Arabidopsis thaliana: one gene and its partner. Each later gene encodes a partner of the first gene's protein in a complex. Each region holds a gene or a part of one and is shown on either strand. Other genes may lie near its edges. A codon is read from its position in the direction of its gene.

The links.
Region 2: the proteins of AT3G10860 (region 1) and AT5G13430 are in contact, whole or in part, in a cryo-EM structure (PDB 8BEL), measured with the Arabidopsis thaliana proteins. Residues at the interface, in NP_001327236.1 of Arabidopsis thaliana: Tyr13 (codon at 2,120), Ala14 (codon at 2,123), Leu15 (codon at 2,126), Phe18 (codon at 2,135), Gln19 (codon at 2,138), Gln20 (codon at 2,141), Lys21 (codon at 2,144), Ile22 (codon at 2,147), Gly25 (codon at 2,156), Lys28 (codon at 2,165), Asp29 (codon at 2,168), Lys33 (codon at 2,180); in NP_568288.1 of Arabidopsis thaliana: Tyr93 (codon at 3,385), Asp95 (codon at 3,391), His96 (codon at 3,394), Asn97 (codon at 3,397), His98 (codon at 3,400), Glu99 (codon at 3,403), Arg100 (codon at 3,406), Tyr101 (codon at 3,409), Asp105 (codon at 3,421), Pro106 (codon at 3,424), Ser107 (codon at 3,427), Lys108 (codon at 3,430), Arg109 (codon at 3,433), Ala112 (codon at 3,442).

Annotation. Positions count from the first base shown.
Region 1 is NC_003074.8:3,397,732-3,401,426, forward strand, and holds AT3G10860 (Cytochrome b-c1 complex, subunit 8 protein), read left to right. Parts: upstream 1-1,843; 5' UTR 1,844-2,083; coding exon 2,084-2,253; intron 2,254-2,734; coding exon 2,735-2,783; 3' UTR 2,784-3,024; intron 3,025-3,080; 3' UTR 3,081-3,195; downstream 3,196-3,695. Other genes in the region: GLY2 (Metallo-hydrolase/oxidoreductase superfamily protein), read right to left, coding at 25-99, 221-397, 500-613, 760-838, 959-1,120, 1,526-1,648, 1,745-1,791; MES17 (methyl esterase 17), read right to left, coding at 3,497-3,695. UniProt on the Arabidopsis thaliana protein: Component of the ubiquinol-cytochrome c oxidoreductase, a multisubunit transmembrane complex that is part of the mitochondrial electron transport chain which drives oxidative phosphorylation.
Region 2 is NC_003076.8:4,304,439-4,309,340, reverse strand, and holds AT5G13430 (Ubiquinol-cytochrome C reductase iron-sulfur subunit), read left to right. Parts: upstream 1-1,770; 5' UTR 1,771-1,941; coding exon 1,942-2,116; intron 2,117-3,283; coding exon 3,284-3,927; 3' UTR 3,928-4,235; downstream 4,236-4,902. Other genes in the region: AT5G13440 (Ubiquinol-cytochrome C reductase iron-sulfur subunit), read left to right, coding at 267-910. UniProt on the Arabidopsis thaliana protein: Component of the ubiquinol-cytochrome c oxidoreductase, a multisubunit transmembrane complex that is part of the mitochondrial electron transport chain which drives oxidative phosphorylation.

The DNA of each region.
Region 1 (3,695 bases):
AGGCAAGAAGCTCTCCATTTATCATCATCCCCTCCACTGATCCTTCTTGTTCCGAACTTCCCTCATTGTATCAATTGGCGACTTGCAACCGAGTTTCTCCTGGAAAATAACAAAGTTAATCTCGATATACGACAAGAAAGTAAAGATCGATATCAACAGTGATAGCTGATAAAACCGAATCATGAATTGTTCAAGAAGATGAACCAAATGGAGTAATAACCTGTATCTCTGGCTTATCAACACGCATAAATGGATTTGTTTCGAGCTCTTCCTCCAGTGTTGAAGGGATTGTGGGAAGATCTGCTTGGCGCTGTTGACGGGCCCATGCTAACTTCTGTTGTATCTTCCCGTTGTTTGGTTCCACAGTTAGAGCAAATTCCAAGTTCTTAACGGTGTACTGAGAACCATAAGAAATGAATAGCGGATTATTCAGTTTATAGGCATCCATTTTTATGAGTTAAGAACTCAAAAGACATAATGAAGCTGTTGATTTTTTTACCTCATGGCCGCAGTAAACCTGTGTCGGTTTAGGTAATGCAGCCAGAGTCACACACAACGACTGATACATCTGCTCAGCTGTCCCTTCAAAAAACTTCCCACATCCAGCAACAAACTGTATAAAATCAAAGTAAACACAGCTTAATGTTTAACTCATAACTATCTCCATTTAGACATTTACAGAGATAAAAGATCTACGGAGAACATATAGGGTCCATGGTAGGGAAGAACAAGAGGATTCAGCTTAATGTTACCACTTACAAGTGTATCTCCGGTGAACACGGCTGGGTTTTCTCCTTCTTTTCCGTTCACATAATAACTAATGTGACCCTTGGTGTGACTGTAACAAGTAGATATATCAGAGGAATCAGCGATGACAAGAGAAAATGACTGAGTTAAACATCAAGTAGATTAGATGCATCTAAATTCATTGGAAAAAAAAAAAAAAAAAAAAACAAACCAAGGAGTGTGGAGAGCCAATATGTTAATATCCTGACCCAAAGTCAGCTTGTCACCATTATCAACCGCATCAGTGCAACCCTTCACCTTATCCAGAGAACCTCCATATACTTTGATATCAGGAACCAACTGCTTAATCTTCTCGTTTCCACCGGCATGATCCCTTTGATCATATCAAGCCACCAATCAAACAATGAGTGTTAAAATAAAAACGTCGCCTCAAATCCAAATTTCATCGAAGACAAAGGCAACCATCATATGGTACATATATAATAAATCTTGCATCTTCAAGAGGTGAAACATTAATGCAGAAAGTATCAGACTTTAACAAAGAATCAGACTCACGAAGATGAATCTCTAAGTCAGTTGAAACTGATAGTAGGAAAAAGCTAAACACTTGATCAGAAAACTGAGAGATTTAACAATAGACTTGTACTAATGTTAATGTCTAGGACCGGAATCTAGCATATGTCGATATCACTGAGTAATAAGAACCAACAGAGAATCTCGGAGATGAATCAAATAAGATAAGTTACCAGTGACATAGAGAGAAGTGAGGTTTACTTACCAGTGATGATGCGTAGTGAGTACGAACTTGATCTTAGCTTGGTGCTTCTCAGCCGATGCGATCACCTTCTCCGGATCAACTGGATCCACAACCGCCGCGTCTCCGGTGCTCTCATCGATTATCCTGTTTTTTTTTTACGAAGAAAGAATCCTAAACTGATGATGAACCGAGTCAGATTAAGAAGCAACGAAATTGAAGTAGGATATCAAAATGGCTCACAGATAAGAGTAGTTGTCTTGCAGACAAGGAACGTGGAAGATCTTCATCGTCTCCTTAGATCGATCGTCCTTCTCCTCCGGAACACTAGCTGTATCATCATCATCATTTATGTCTGGACTAGTGATTTATCTATTTCGGTTTACTCAAACCGGATCGAACCGAAACAAATCAGGATAAATTTTGCAGCCGGTCATCCGGTTCAATTGTAATTGTAACTGAACCGGAATCGGATAAAAAACATAAGCTTCGTTGAGAATTGTTTATTTTAGGTTTTGGGGGAGATTCGTTCTCGTACTGTGGATTGTTGTTGTTGGGATTATCTGGGAAGAGAAAAAGAAAATGGGGAAGCAGCCGGTGAAATTGAAGGCGGTGGTTTACGCACTTTCTCCGTTTCAGCAGAAGATCATGACCGGTCTCTGGAAGGATCTGCCGGAGAAGATCCACCACAAGGTCTCTGAGAATTGGATCAGCGCCACTCTTCTCGTTACCCCTGTCGTTGGAACCTACTGGTACTCTATCTCTCTTTCTATCTCTCTCATCAATCGATTGGTAAAGGAACCTTTGGATCGAGTTCCGATCTGGTTGATTGTTCTTCGATCTGTGTCATCGGTCTTGTGCGGCGCATATGGATATAGGGTTCTTCGTTTGTGTCATAGGAACAAATGAGAAATGATAGGATTTAAGTTAGTTTGAGATGAGTATTAAGTGGAGTGTAGTATATAGAGACTCTCAGCTAGAAAAAGTCTTCCAGGTATCAAATTAGTATTGTTGATGAACCACTCTGTGGAATTGCATTTCAAGATGTTGAGGATTTAAATGGCTTAGTCGTAATCATTAGCTGATTAGTGTGGTTCTATTAAAACTGTTGAGTTCTTGCTTGTGAAGCTATTAGTTACCTGATCGATCTAAACATTACGGGTGCTGCATATTATGGTCTAGTTTCTAGTCATCTTTTGTGCTTATTCTTTCAAATACACACAATGAATGCAGGTATGCTCAGTATTTCAAGGAACAGGAGAAGCTTGAGCACAGATTCTGAAGCATGAAGTCACTCCTTTTCTACAAGAACCTGACAGTTTGAAGTAATTTCTTTTGTTTCAAGCCTATAAATTTCACAAAAACTCTTGTGGGAATCTTCTGAGTCAGTTTTTCTGAAACTCTTTTGCTAAATAAATGTTTGGGTTTCATGACAATGACTCTTGTTGTTCATCTTTCTTGATATATGGTATGAAAATTGGATTGAATCGAGTAATATATTGATCCCTCAAAACAACTATTAGGCAAAATCAAACGCTGCCTATGTTCCCTTAAGACATCAACTACAAACAACTATTAGGCAAAATCAAACACTGCAAGTCTGCAACCACTCCTACAAGGTTTGTGATGAACAGAGTCGTTGGTTGGACTAGAAATGTTGTCCATTTCATCAAGTACAGTTCAGCGGAGTCATTCTCTTCGTCTAAGGCTTTTGAGGTAACTGTGAAGTTGGTGTCGATACCGGCTAGGACTTTAAGTAGACCTTGGAAGACTGCAAATTAGTGATTTATATAAAACTACACGATTTGCCGAAATTTATTTCACTTTTGTGACGCAAGATAAAATTAAGCAAAACATAATTTATTTCAAAACGATTAATATAAAATACCAAAATGTCACAAAAATCAAAAATAAATAAACACTCCCTCGACAATACTGATCACTTAACCGGTTTTAAAACCAACAAAAGGCAATCCTTTAGTTCTTTAAATAGTTTTAGATAGAACCGACGGAAACGGCAGCTTTGATGAGTAAACCAAAGAGAACAAAAGGGTTAGAGAAGAAAGGAGAATGGTCGCTCTCCAATTCGTAAACTTGGCTAGGTGGCCACCGTCTTATCATCGCGTCTTGCTGCTCCGGTTTCATGACCCGGTCGAGTAACGTCTTGATGTACACGCGCGGCACTTGCTCCTCT
Region 2 (4,902 bases), on another chromosome or scaffold:
TGCGTTAGATAGATTAGTTTAGTTTTCACTGAATTTGATATCATGGTAGAAAATTGTTTGGATGACACCTTCTGTTATCTCTTGGAATCCGTTTTTATAATCTTATGTTATTCTATGCATTAATGTTAAATGTTTGCTAGTGTTATTCCTTTCTTCTGTGTTATCTCTTGAAAATATTTTTGCTTAATACTTGGTGTTGTTGAACACTTGACCAAGTATAAAGTTTGCCCTTGATGTGAAATATTAATGTTTCATGCTATTTTCAGGTTTTGCTTCTCAAGTCATTACTCAGGGAAATGAGATAGGTTTTGGTTCGGAAGTCCCAGCCACAGTCGAAGCTGTCAAAACACCTAACTCAAAGATTGTCTATGACGACCATAACCATGAGCGTTACCCACCTGGTGACCCTAGCAAGCGGGCATTCGCCTATTTTGTCTTGTCGGGTGGAAGGTTTGTTTATGCCTCTGTTCTCCGCCTGCTTGTTCTGAAGCTTATTGTGAGCATGTCTGCAAGTAAAGATGTCCTTGCCCTTGCATCCCTCGAGGTTGACCTAGGGAGCATAGAACCAGGAACTACCGTGACAGTCAAGTGGCGTGGAAAGCCCGTCTTCATCAGGCGAAGAACAGAAGATGACATCAAGCTGGCCAATAGTGTGGATGTTGGATCCCTGAGGGACCCACAAGAAGACTCGGTTAGAGTCAAGAATCCAGAATGGTTGATCGTGGTTGGAGTATGCACTCATTTGGGGTGCATCCCCTTGCCTAATGCTGGTGATTATGGTGGTTGGTTTTGTCCGTGTCACGGATCACATTACGATATATCTGGAAGAATTAGGAAAGGTCCTGCACCATACAACCTGGAAGTACCGACCTACAGCTTCTTGGAAGAGAATAAATTACTCATTGGTTAATGAATAAAGCACAACAGTCCGAGTGTCATGGTCTGGATGATCTTAAATCTGTTTTTGTTTTTATATTTTCCGGCATTTTAGCGTGCAAGTTCGCTTTCCTCACACTTTGGGCTCAGCAAAAATTGGCTTGTTTTGCTGAATAATACAAACTTGTCATTGTATGACTTAGTATCTGTCTCATCTGGTGAAAATACATTGTTCATACTTCATAGTCTCTGTTTATTATTTGAAAAGAGTTTTGAATAGTATCATCCCTATTTTTCTTATGTTTGTAATTTTGTAACATATCGTTTGTAAGAGAGTTTCCTTTCCTTAAAGTCTGTAGCCATTATCACAATTGAGACAAAAACTTGGTAAGGTTCAAGGTGTGTTATAAAACTTTCGTGTTCTTACTGGAGACGACATTTCGAAGACCTTCAATTCTCAACTAAGCCATAAACCTTCTCTTCCATAGTGAGAAATCCAATTGTGAACCTCGAGACTACTACTTTGATGAAAGATGTCATATTCTGGTTGTGGATCTTAGCCTAATTTTCTTGTTCAGATTGTTTTCATCGATGACTACTTCTTTGATGATGTCCTTCTAGCTCTTTCTTCTAGTATTGAAAAGTTCACACAGATGTAAAACAGTCTTTTTGTTGGAAATCTTGTTTAAACATTACAACAACAAAATATATCCTTTACCAAGTATAGACCCCCTATTATTATTATTAAAAATTACGATTTTTATACAAATAAAATAATTTATCTTACAAATACACACACACAAAAAAATTATATCGTAAAACCAAAAGATTTTATTAATTAAAATTAGAAAAAAAACCATGCCATCAAAATCCTGAAGTAAAAAAATATCAAGTAATACGCAAAAACCAAAAAAAACAAAACAAATTGACCTTTTCTCAAAGACAATTTTTAAGGGACTTACTAGTAAGTAGTCTCTTATGTTTTGTTTTGCATCGGCCGTCCCAAACCTGAGGATTTCTCTGTTCAGCTAGAGCGAAACCCTAGATTCACATTTGAGCTGAGAGATGCTGCGTGTAGCAGGGAGGAGGCTTTTCTCTGTCTCGCAGAGATCTTCGACTGCGACCTCCTTCGTCGTCTCCCGTGACCATACCCTTTCCGATGGTGGCGGCGACTCCTCTTCAGCTCCCAGATCCCTCCCCTCTGCAGATCTCTCATCTTACCACCGTAGCCTTATCAGAGGTTTGCCGATTTATAACCCTTTCCCTCTCTCTCTACATTGATTTTTCATTTTCGGTGGTTCTTTGCAGTTTTATTTGATTGATTGATTTTTGAAAAGGTCTTCTTTTTTTGGTTGTATGATTCACGGGAATGATTGAGATTTCTAGTATTGTATCTGCAATGATCCGTGGGAACAAACGTGTCATCTGATTTGAATTCCATGAGCTTGATGTACCATTTGGCTACATTCTTCTCCTTGCTGGATTTGTATTGCATTTGATGATTACTTCTTTCGTGTGGATTGTTCAGTTCTGAGATAATCCTTTGTTTTACTAGGAAAGTTTCCTCTTTTCGGTGCGTTAATCATAGTATGATTCACCACTGGCTTCTTGGTTTTTGAAATTTGATCTTGTGTATCAATCCTTTTGAGTTCTTCATTGTTAGGGACATGGATGTTTTAACTGTATACTATGTTTGTAGGATTTATAGCTGTTTAAAGGCATGCTGAGGAACTTGCATTCTGAAATTTATGTTTTCTTAACCAAAGAGCTTTGTTTGTTCTTAGCATTGGAAATTTTGTTGTGTTTTAAGCGTTTCTGTAATATACAGCATCTGATCAATATATTTTTTTCTCTTGGTTTATTACGTTGGTTTTAGTATTTAAGGTTTCACTGAATTTGTTATTATTGATTTGTTTGGATGAATTTGGTATACTTGGCTTCTCTGATTCATTCTTTCGTCCAGAAGGAAATGAACATTTGAGTTTATTGATGGATTATGGATTGACCTGTTTAGATGTAATTCTTTGGTTGATGACTAAAGCTCCTTGCTTGTAAATCATTGGAATGCGTTATCCATAGTGTGATTCACATTGGCTTCTAGATTCCAATTTTTTGTTCTTCTGTTTCCATGTTGATCATTGAATTTGTTCTCTTGTTTTTTTTATGGAGATTATCGTATTTAAGTTTCCACTCCCCGAGTTTGATACGATGGTTTGAATTGTTTGGATGGATCTCATACTTCATGGAATCCGTTTTATGTACTTTTGTTTTTCCTTAGAAGATTATACATCAATGGTCACATCTTGATTGTGGTAGTCCTGTGGCTTATTCTTATTCTTGTAGAACACTTGACCAAGTATAAAGTTTGCCTTTGATGTGAAATATTAATGTTTCATGCTATTTTCAGGCTTCTCTTCTCAAGTCCTTGCTCAAGGAAATGAGATAGGTTTTGGTTCAGAAGTCCCAGCCACAGTCGAAGCTGTCAAAACGCCTAACTCAAAGATTGTCTATGATGACCATAACCATGAGCGTTACCCACCTGGTGACCCTAGCAAGCGTGCATTCGCCTATTTTGTCTTGTCGGGTGGGAGGTTTGTTTATGCCTCTGTCCTCCGCCTGCTTGTTTTGAAGCTTATTGTGAGCATGTCTGCAAGTAAAGATGTCCTTGCCCTTGCATCCCTTGAGGTTGACCTAGGGAGCATAGAACCAGGAACTACCGTGACAGTCAAGTGGCGTGGAAAGCCCGTCTTCATCAGGCGAAGAACAGAAGATGACATCAAGCTGGCCAATAGTGTGGATGTTGGATCCCTGAGGGACCCACAAGAAGACTCGGTTAGGGTCAAGAATCCAGAATGGTTAGTGGTTGTTGGAGTGTGCACTCATTTGGGGTGCATCCCCTTGCCTAATGCTGGTGATTATGGTGGTTGGTTTTGTCCGTGTCACGGATCACATTACGATATATCTGGAAGAATTAGGAAAGGTCCTGCACCATACAACCTGGAAGTACCAACCTACAGCTTCCTGGAAGAGAATAAGTTACTCATCGGTTGATTAATAAAAGCACAACAGTCAAGAGTCTGGATCTGAATGATGATCTTCACTTGTTCTTTTTTTCTTTTAATTAATATTTTCCGGCATGTTAGAGCAAGATTGACTTGTTTTTGCTGAATAATACAAACTTGTGATTTTTGTTTGAAGTATACTCAATCTTCGTTTATCCATCGCTAGTAAAAGACGACTATGTTCATAGTCTGTGTTTATTATTTAACATGCCTATTTGTCCTATGTATGAGTGAGATTCCTTTCGTATCTCATAATTCTAAACATCGTCATTCCAATTAAAAAGTTGTATTTACATTTGAGTTTCGATAGTATCTCAACGTTCATAAAAGAAAAACTAAAGGTATGAGAAAAACCAACGTAGAAACAAACAACAAAAGGTAATATATCAGCTTTGATTGATAGTTTACAGGAAGATAACCGAATAAGTTCAAACTGTATTCGTAAGACATCCCGTGAATGAATATTCAATCATCCAAAAGTGGCATAGCTAGATTTTTTCTAGATTGGCTAAGAACACAAAAACATAATATTTTATTCTGTTTAATCTTTTTTAGTTAAGAAAAAATGTTTGACACACAAAAGCCAAAGTTTGATTTGGGTAAAAACCATTGTGGGAGATGAAAATGTTAAAATCTTGTTTGTTTTGGTCACCAACAACGGCCATGAACTATATGGGAAGTGACTTATCTCTTGTAAGTTGTTTTCCTTTTGGGATATGGGAAGTGACTTCTCCGACCCTTGCAAACTAACAACGGCCATTACACACTAATTACAAGCCAAAGGTCCTCACTAAGCAACCTCTCGTGTTTATCATAAGACACCGCTCTATCTCTTATTATTTTATTCATTGTTTTCTAATTTCAGACTGATTAATCATACATTAGAGAAAGTTTATTAAAACCATCTGATGTAAAAAATCACATTTATCTAAATTAAATAAATTTGTTATCTAGTATATAACTA